Oryzias latipes: one gene and its partners. The protein of the gene in region 1 purifies or fractionates together with the protein of each later gene. This does not show direct contact. Links are inferred from orthologs where the notes say so. Each region holds a gene or a part of one and is shown on either strand. Other genes may lie near its edges.

Region 1 (3,500 bases):
CTGGTTAATGTCAGCATGGTAACTCGCTTTAACACCTTTGTGAGTGTTTTCTGGTCTGGGGGGTGAGGAAAAACAAAAAAAACAGTAGTTTATTTCTTTAATACATATATCTATATAAAAAAAATTTCAGTAACAGATTTTCAATTCCTTTTCCTACCTGTAGAACTTGTAAAGTGTCAGTTTGACGTCTGCAGTGTCAGATTTTCCGTTGCTACGGCGATGACAGAAGATCTCCTTGATGCGGCCGACACGGAAAGGCTCCGGAGCATCCAGGTTTGACCCTTTGATGTAGTCTGAGGACTTCCGGTAGTACTCGGGATACAGATCTTCATCCACGTCCTCCTTCCTGTGGGAGCGCTTCACTGGGCTAGCAGGCTTCATACTAAACGCAGAAAATATAAGGTGGAAAACAATAATCCAATTTAATTTTGTGCCCTGTACATAAGAAAACCATTTGAAATACACAACACTCACTTGAAACTGAAGGAGTCAGGAGGCAGGTAAACTCCATCTCCAATTTTAAACTGCTCGCCTTTGAAGCAAGCCAGCGCATACAGAACCTTTGTGTCGCCGCTTTCATTCTCTAGAGGTTCGAGTGCTTGAGGCACTTCCTGCTCTGCTCTCTCTTTAATGCGAGCACAGCTGCCACAGAACCTGAAGGTAAAAGAAAAGAAGAGGAAGAGTCAAGTTTAGCCATCGCATCAAAGAAAGAACATCACAAACATCAGAACATCAGTCACCTGTACTTGCAGTCCTCTGGTTCTGAAGTCTTGGGAGGAGTCTCAAATCGGGCAAACTCTGTGTCATACCAAAACTGGTAGAAAAAACTCTTCCCATCATCCTCAACCACCTTGAGGTCAACATCCATTCCACCCTAAAACGTTAAACGTCACATGTGAACGTTTCTGAAAATGACAGCATGAATCTGGAAACTTTTGATCAGCTTTGATCCACTGACCTCCATGAACCAGTTGTTGGAGGGAGCTTTGTACATAACGTTCACTTTTTCATGGACATAACTGAGCAGCATGTCCTCGCATTCATCCACGACGACGAGCTCCAGTGGATCAGAGGATTCTCCGAGCGCTGTGTGAATCCCTCGAAGGAACCAGTGAGCATGGAAGGTCTTCCCGTGGGAACCCTCCCACATTGAAGTGATCCTGAGAGACAATACACGAACGGAGGTTACTCCTCTGTAAAACAAAACATCACCAAAGTACACCTTTTCTTTCTTGTACCTGGCCAGATACAGAGGAACGGATGGATCATCAGATAAAACCGAAACGCAGTCTCCCACTTCCAAAACCTCATCATTGACGGACACTTTCTTGTAGTAGTGTTTCTTCCCCTCCGACTAAAGCCAAACAGATCATTGTCAGTTACATTTGTGGCTTAAGTAAATCAATCAAAAAAACTAAAAGACATACCAGTATAGGCTCTCCGATCCATGCAAGCTTGCACTGAGTTTGTTTCTTCTTCTTGGTGTTGGCGTCCTTCTTTGCCTTTTCTACCAAAACATCTTCCTCAACAATCTCATCATCTTCAGCCTCTTTTACAGCAAGATTAGGGCATCTAAACAGCATGAAAAGAAGGCCATCAGAGAGTTTAATAGATCGGATTTCTCTGTCGCAACCACAACAAAAGTATGAAGAGTTGAAGCAGAAGAGACACGAGGATTTCTGTAAAAAAAAATATTTATCCTGCAGCAATGATTGTAGCGGCATATACGGCAAAGTTAAACTGAACCAGAACTTTTTTCCCATCAAAACGTTTGTGATGACTTGGACTTCCCACAAAGAGATCCTCAGACATCCTCACCTTCTCTGTTTACAGGCTTGCTTGCTTCGACCGCTTCCTCCAAACTTGATCATATCTTTGCAGGCGGTACATTTGCCGCAATCAGGAGACTGGCAAACCTAAAAAGATTCCAGTTTGTTAGATTTGGAGTTGTAACTTCACAAAAAACAAACAAACCAAAGAACACAATAACCAACTCACTTCACAAACGCCACAACGCTGCCTTTTGAGCGCACTCTCTTTATCGTTCTGCTCTATCTGGTCAGAGAAGAAGGCATCGAAGATCTGGTAGACCAGTTTAGTGGTTGTTGCCTTCGTCGGTCCTTTGCTGTCCTTCTCGATCTTCGTCGGGTGACGGATGGCTTGTCTTCTGGCAGCTCTCCTATCAACAAAACAGAGTCAGCGTTTAGAGGAGAGGCGGGTTTTGGAGCAGCACAAACACAGGATCGTATGGTGAGGGATGGAACTAAGAAGCTCCTGGCCGTAAACACACCACAGCATCAGGCCATGCAGCAGTACAAGCAAACAAAACTTAACCTTTGACCTTTGGAGAACTATGGAAAAAAACTTTAAAGATGAAATATTAACACTTAAACAGGATTTTTTTTCTTTGAAACTCTTTACCTCGGAAAATTTGTCAGAGAAATAAATCTAGTGATAATTCACGGCTTTTAAAATTTTGAAAGTATAAAACGTGAAATAATTTTATTTTGGAAAGACTTTTTTTTAAAAATTACTCTATTACCTTGAAAATAAAGCCAACTCTAGGCCTATTAATTTACCTCAAAACACAAATAAACATAAAAGATAAAAAAAGAAAGGAAGTTCTTAAGAAACATTTTCTTCAAGTTTCATGATAGTTTCATTTTTTTTTACATTTCTGACCTTTGACTTAAAATAATTTTGTTTCATCCCAAACTATTCCAACAAAACTTTACAAAAGCAAATCACACTGAAAGACCACAATATAAATCAAAATAACTGAAAATGAAAATAGTTTAAAAACCATGTATGTGTCTCAGTGTGAACTCTGTTCACTTTCTAAATGTTTGACAGAAAAACACCACATAGCAGAATAAAGATGCAATCACAGCAAGAACCACCTACCAGTACAGCAGCGTGCTGCATTAGGAAGTGTTAAAAACATGTTAGACATCAGGGAGACAAAGACTGACGTGCAGAAAATTAAAAAATAAAATTTAAAAAGGGTTCAATCTAAATACAATTAAGTGTTTTTAAGGATACATGGTCATAATCCCAAACTGTTCTACTTTATTATACAATAGTCGGGCAATTAAGTATCCCACCAAAAGGAGAGACCCTTTTTTCTTTTTAACTTTGAGGTGATGTCACTTAATTATGAACTTAAAAATTCTTAAATATAAATTTATTTACAAGCGTCTGAATGTATTAACTGTACCTTTTCCCCAGAGTGACTCCTGCGAGTTTGATGAGGTCTCTCATGCAGGGAGTGACGATGATGGGCTGCTCATCCGAGTCGCCAGCCTCGTCGTAGCTCTCCACCTGTTCCACCACAAACTGGGCGTGGCGCAGCAGAGTGTCTTCAGTGAAACAGTTGAAGTTTAGTCCTGCAGGAGGAACTGTTGTCTGAAAGTAGAAAAAGAAGATAGTCTGTCAAGATTCACATTTGATAAGGGGGGGGGGGGGGGGGGGGGGGTGTTAAAAAGAAAAACTTTAACTGA
Region 2 (2,498 bases), on another chromosome or scaffold:
CTGAGTCATGCGACCACACAGACCCACCAACCCGACGAAGAACTGCTCCCCCTGCAGTGATGGAGCTCCAACCTCCATCAGCGCGATCGCCTGTCCCGTTCCATCCGTACGACTCGCTCGCTTCATCCTTTTATTGTAAATAAAGACTCAAAGAGGAACAAACAAAACCTTCTCTGCATATAGTGCAAATGTATGAAGTAGTCTACAGCCAGTCAGGAGAGCCGCATCCAAAGGTTTCTGCATGCTACTGCCTACCCGCACCACAGTGACCGCCACAACGCAAGGATGACAGGAGTCACTCGGGATCCAGCCGCCGCGGCCACATCTCACATGGGTTCATGCAGGAGGCCAGATTCATCACTGAACGGTGGACATTTGTATAGTGTGGTTCATTTTCTAAATGTGTGATAAATAAAAACAGATTTCTCTAAACTGCGTTTCCTTCTCTGACGAGTTTCACATCAGGAGCATTTGACCTTGAAACAGCAAAAGCCAGAATCTCAACGTTTCACAATATTTTATTCTGCATCACTTTGAACAAACAAATCCCTGTAAACAGTAATCAGCACCTATGTGACCGGACAACCAATCTGAAGAACGATCACGGAGAACCAACCGGACAGGAAAAGGAGGAACACAGAAATCCTGCCGGTGAAGAAGCACCACGTGAAGCCCTGAAGTCTCCCACCACCGAGTCCATAAATTACAGGTGCAGAAGAAGAAAGACGTTTCTCAGCAGGAGAATGAAGCTGGTGCTGCTGAGAGGTCAGGGTTCAGAGGGTCTACAAGCACCAGAGAGCAGAGAAGAGGAATGCTCTGAAGCCCCCGGCTGACATCTTGAAGAGGCAGTGAGCTGGTCTAAGCACCGAGGGGGGGTGGAGTCCAGGTGACACGGTGATTGTTCATGAGACGAGGCACAGCAGACAGGGACATGCCGGCTTTTTCCCATCAAACCTTTCATCATCTGGAAGATGGAGAGAAACTGGATTGTCAATCAACAGACTCCTGATGTGAATCAGTTTAGGATTCCGATCTGTTACACTCCAGCAGGTTCTTTTCCCCTGCTGGATCTGGTTCCAGAGCGGAGAACCAGCACCAATAATCTGATTCCAACTGAACGCAGTGTCAGTACCAATGTGGGGACAGATGGACAATCAAAGCATCAGAGGAACATGACAGAACTGCTTCAGCTCCTGTTTGGTTTGAACGAGCAGCGGCGCTGGAGCGTGTGCTGGTTCTAGCACCTGAAGGAGGTCGGTCCGGATCTGAGAAGAAGAAAGAGGGCAAACGGTTCTGCTGGAGGACTTCGGTCCCTGAAGAGGAGTTTGTCTTTCCTGTGCCAATATTTGGGGGATGTTTACGCCGTGAGGCAAGGCCTCACAGGAGGGAACATTCACCAGTCCAGCAGTCCCAGAGGAGAGGGGTTTTAAGAGGAAAATGATGAAACACAGAGTCCAAATATTCCCAGTTTTCCTGAAGAGCGGAGTTTGGAGAAGCAGCCTGGTTTTCCTGAAGTTATTGTGTTGCTTTGTTGTTAAGGCCTTCTTTGTGTTGCAGAGCCACAGAGGTAGAGGTCGGGATCAGGCGATCTCCATCTCGCGCTCGATCCCCACGTACTTCAGGGCGTCCGCCTGGCTGTACCTGCACAGAAGACGTCCACAAACAGCATCAGTCTCCCAGCTTTACCTGACGGGAACTCGAGGACACATCTGGTTGATGTTTGGAAGACTAAGTTCTTCTGAAACTACGTCTCACCAAAACAGGAAACGCTGATCTGTTTGTGTCTAACGATTATAGTGGAGCTGCAGGTGAGAACTGGAGGTGTTGGACTGACCTGTAGTCAAAGAAGAGCTCCTCTCCGGTCTGGATGGCTCTCTTGGCAAAGATGCCGATTCGGTGATCCCCGTTCACCATCATCACTGCAGACAGCAGAAGAGGGCCTCACAAAAGAGCCTGAAGCCAGTGACGGTCGCTAACAGTCTCGCCCCCTTACCCTTTGCATAGCAGTTGGGGTTGACCGAGTGGTTGGCGAAGCGGATCTTGTTTCCTTTCCTTGTGGCATCAACCACGAAATCTGCAGAGAAAAAGGGTTTAAGGCTGGAGCCGCACTGGACCTTTGGCTGCTCTGGGACCCGTCTCACCGTTATTGAGGTTGAAGAGGAAGCTGCACATGTATTTGTCGTAGACCTTCCCTCTGCGGTCTGCCTCGTCCTGCGAGATGATCTGCAGACAGGGGTCAGAGGTCAGCCTGTGCTGCAGGTGATGATGGTTTTAAAACCTTGCTCCATTGGTTCATTGGTTCCTCTAAATTGCCCCTAAGGGTGCATGGGTGAGTGATCTGTGGCGACCTGTCCAGGATGTCCCCTGCCTTCGCCCGCGACCCCGAAAGGGACAAAACGGTTAAGAAGATGAATTTAGGATTTCCTATACACAAGGCTTTTTCCCTGTAATTTAATCTAGCACTGGATTTTCTGTCAAATAAAAAAATCCTCAGAAAA
Region 3 (3,500 bases), on another chromosome or scaffold:
TTAAATACTCTTATTAGGTAGAAAGAAAAATTAAAGATGATAGTTTGTGTCAGTAAACACACTCAGCATCAGCAGCACTCGTTGTCCCTCCCCCTGCTTGGCGGCTGGATAGAGCTGTCGGGGGTGAAACCTCAGCTTCTTCCTCCTGTGGAATAAAAAAAAAAAAAAATCATTTTCTTATTTTATTCTGAAAGTTTGTATCGCGTTTCCTACTGTAGTCGTTTTGAGTTCTTGGGACCATTTTGTAAAAAATGAAAGCATGGAGAAGCATATTTTCTGGACAATAAGCAGACGTTTAAATGTGTGGAATATTTCCGTTCACAGCAGTAGTTGGTAAATGACTGTTTCTTTGTTTGTGCTTTTTTTTTAATGTTTACATGAATGATCGTTTTTCTGCAAGAGGAGCAATGACTAAACTATTTTAGCTGATGGAAAAGGTCACAGGACCCATCAGAATATATTTCATGCCTCTTTTAAAGTGTGTTTTTGTGAAAAAGATGTTTAAAGATTGGAATATTCTGAAAAATGTGCAGCCCTCACATGTTATATCTCACTAATTTAAAGTTATTCTGGTTAACCTAAATAAAAAATGTTTTGGAAAACCACTGAATTCTGCAGGATGTGAGCTTAAACATAGAGAGATAAGTATCAAAAATGTAAAAAATATAATAAAATATAATATGTAGAATATCATCATCATGGTGCATACTTGAGAATATTACAGTTCAGTTTCTTCAATTTAAAATTCAAATAAGGTTCATATATTTGTGTATATTTGTCTGTTTATTTGTCTTCAGTCATTTTTCACATTTGTGTTGCTAAAAATGTTTTTTAAACACACATTTGTCAAAACATTTTGAAAATTTGACTATAACTACCGGTAAGTATTTTATTTTAAACTGATTTAAACATTTTTTTTGAAACAGTTGCATTTTAAATGTAGTTCAAATATGTGCATTTTACAGGTTTATTAAATCCTCAGTGCAGCTGTATGAAACTGTAAACCAGACCTCTCTGAGTCCTGTGTTAGGATCGCTTTCTGCAGCGCCGCCCTGCTGGGTCCTGGTGGAAGTGCGCTCGGGCAGACCGGCTTCCCATTCGGCATGCAGAGCGACGGCCCCACGCTGTCCACTCCCTCCTCTCCTGGAGGGGTGGTGGCGGCGGTTACGGTCGCTGCAACGGGCGCCGACTGCGGCGGCTGCTCCACGGTCAGCGTGAAGAAGCCGTGGCTTTGCATCCGAGCGCTGATGAAGAAAAACACAAAGCATCAATAGAAACCACACTTTCACAAGCAAAGGCAGCCATAAGGTCATCTGAGCTCACCTAACGGGTCTTTCCGGCATCTTCTCGTCCTTCGTGCCTCCTGTGGAGGCGTTGAGGGAGGGTCCCGAAGGGGCAGTCGGGGGCAGCGATGGCGTGGTGGTGGAGGAGGCGGACATGGTGACGACTGTGGCGGCTGAGGTTGCGGCGGCGCTGGAGGAGGGGAGGGTGATCTCCTGAGCTTCTGAGGCATCTTCCCCACAGTGGGGGCAGAAAATCATCCCGCCGCCGTTGGCTCTGCTGCGCCCGCTGCTCAGCACGGTCACGCAGCCGCGGTGGAAACGGTGGGCGATGCGCTGGTCAGGACAGCACTCTAGGAACGTCCCCTGCAAAAGAAGAATTAAAAATATATAAATGAAGAGAATGGACCAAACCTGACCAGGTTTGAGGTGGACAGACAAAAGAAAAACATCCTCTGAAAATACAGAAAAATTAAAAACAGGATTAAGCAGAGTCTAAAGAGATGAGGAGAAATATATGAAAAATGAAGATTTAAAACAATCATACAAAGAGGAAAACCGACGGATTTCTAACTCGCCACAAACAGACCAAATATTTCAAACATCTGTTCCTCCTCACACTTACTGCTATGCAGAAGTAGCCACACCCTGGGCAACAGTGGTGCTTGACCATGTGTGAGCGATGGACGTCGCAGAGCACCATGAGGGAGACCCGGCTGGATGGTCGCATGGTCTCACCTTTCACGGTCCAGCTGGTGCACGCCCGCAGCTGAAACGCCACGGAAAGGTGGGACATTTATGTCAAACATAAAAATCCTTTATTTTAAGGAAAAAACTTCCAAGTTTGAGCTGTCTGATGAACTTTTGCGTTTCATTTCTCCATCAGTTTTATTTTTTGTTGGATTTGTTATTTAAGAGACGAGGGTTGGTTCCCCGACCTCTCCGTTGAGGCTTTCCGTGGCCATGCACTGTCTGCTGATGCGCTGGCAGCTGCTGTCGATTCGAGGAGCCTCCATCCTGCAGCTGCACAGGGGGAGCTCCTCCAGCCTCTCCGTGTCGCCGGCGTCGCTTCCTTCTGCAGGGAAGATGGAGGAGAAACCCACCAAGATCTGAACATGTGTCCTTTCGATTGTCGTAAAAAGCACAAACACAAAATGCTTCAAGACTCATTTTGGAGAAAATGTTTGCTTATTTCTGAAGCTCACTTTAAATGTTGAAGTTTAAAGTGATTTTAAACTTCAACCGCTCATGCGGTTTTATTACCTCCATGAGCTACACCCCCTTCCCACCCCACCCTGAAAAAACACTTGTTTAAAAAGCTTTTATGTGGGTTTTATCTCCATAGCAACCATTATATGTTTGATCTTCTGGGGTGACGAACAGCTCTGTGTCATTTTTAGACAAATCTGCAAAAGTAAACTTGAATTTCCTTGGCAACTGAGGTTTTTTGTTAACCACGCCCACATTCCTAGTGTGTTTATTTTGCATGCTATAGCGTTTCATTCTTCTTGAGCCGACAGTTCTTGAATTAAATGTTCACAATATTCCAGTAAAAATTGTGCAAACAAGAGATGACATTCCCTCTTGCGAGCTCGCCGCGCTAACGCCGTTCAAACGCGAAGCTACCCAATGGTGGTCGAGGAGTTAGGATTGAAATCCCTAAATTTGTAGCTGGTACCAAAGGTGATGTATCATTGTTTTCATTTAAGACGGCAGCCTCTACTCGAGGTCAGAGGTCAACAAAAATGTAGTTGTAGACTAAACCCACCAGGAGGAGGGGAAAGAGTTAGACTGTCGGCAGCTGCGATGTCCAGGTCACCCAAAGGAACCTCGGTGTATTCGTCTGCTTGTTCTTCTGAAGACCAACAGAAGAGCAGAGCAGTCAGGAGATATGAGAGGATCAACACAACAATAATTCCTACAGTAAAATCATTTATCCTCTCCTTTTAATGCAAAACAGTTGTGCATCTTGAAGATATTTTTTTAAGATTTGTTTAAAAACAGTGTTTTTAACATGTTCTTGTGGCATTTTTTTCTCATAATGGGGACACATTTAATGAAAATTAAGTATTTCTTCATTTGAATCGTTGTGAAACAGGAGCAGACGGAAAAAAAAGTCTCTGATTTGAATCAGGATCATAGTTTGAAGTAGAAAATGTACTGGGCGGGCTCCCAGCTCTCAGCAACGGGGAGGAGAAGGGAAGGGGGGCGGCGTTGCTC

What was found. Proteins that work in one complex are often made in the same cells at the same time.
Region 2: the proteins of dnmt1 (region 1) and ezh2 purify together in Homo sapiens (affinity purification with western blotting; 6 studies listed by BioGRID and IntAct, with this or other methods). This does not show direct contact. The link is inferred for Oryzias latipes from reciprocal best matches to the Homo sapiens genes DNMT1 and EZH2.
Region 3: the proteins of dnmt1 (region 1) and ehmt2 purify together in Homo sapiens (affinity purification with western blotting; 3 studies listed by BioGRID, with this or other methods). This does not show direct contact. The link is inferred for Oryzias latipes from reciprocal best matches to the Homo sapiens genes DNMT1 and EHMT2.

The regions. Positions count from the first base shown.
Region 1 is NC_019866.2:8,448,179-8,451,678, reverse strand, and holds part of dnmt1 (DNA (cytosine-5)-methyltransferase 1), read right to left. Parts: intron 3,406-3,500; coding exon 3,218-3,405; intron 2,920-3,217; coding exon 2,905-2,919; intron 2,180-2,904; coding exon 1,999-2,179; intron 1,917-1,998; coding exon 1,819-1,916; intron 1,573-1,818; coding exon 1,428-1,572; intron 1,355-1,427; coding exon 1,239-1,354; intron 1,161-1,238; coding exon 959-1,160; intron 875-958; coding exon 741-874; intron 655-740; coding exon 475-654; intron 383-474; coding exon 158-382; intron 56-157; coding exon 1-55. UniProt on the Homo sapiens protein: Methylates CpG residues. Preferentially methylates hemimethylated DNA. Associates with DNA replication sites in S phase maintaining the methylation pattern in the newly synthesized strand, that is essential for epigenetic inheritance.
Region 2 is NC_019878.2:3,242,524-3,245,021, forward strand, and holds the end of ezh2 (histone-lysine N-methyltransferase EZH2), read right to left. Parts: intron 2,224-2,498; coding exon 2,142-2,223; intron 2,075-2,141; coding exon 1,994-2,074; intron 1,920-1,993; coding exon 1,835-1,919; intron 1,642-1,834; coding exon 1,581-1,641; 3' UTR 501-1,580; downstream 1-500. UniProt on the Homo sapiens protein: Polycomb group (PcG) protein. Catalytic subunit of the PRC2/EED-EZH2 complex, which methylates 'Lys-9' (H3K9me) and 'Lys-27' (H3K27me) of histone H3, leading to transcriptional repression of the affected target gene.
Region 3 is NC_019869.2:5,424,690-5,428,189, forward strand, and holds part of ehmt2 (histone-lysine N-methyltransferase EHMT2), read right to left. Parts: intron 3,136-3,500; coding exon 3,049-3,135; intron 2,356-3,048; coding exon 2,219-2,355; intron 2,050-2,218; coding exon 1,906-2,049; intron 1,647-1,905; coding exon 1,324-1,646; intron 1,245-1,323; coding exon 1,011-1,244; intron 146-1,010; coding exon 63-145; intron 1-62. UniProt on the Homo sapiens protein: Histone methyltransferase that specifically mono- and dimethylates 'Lys-9' of histone H3 (H3K9me1 and H3K9me2, respectively) in euchromatin.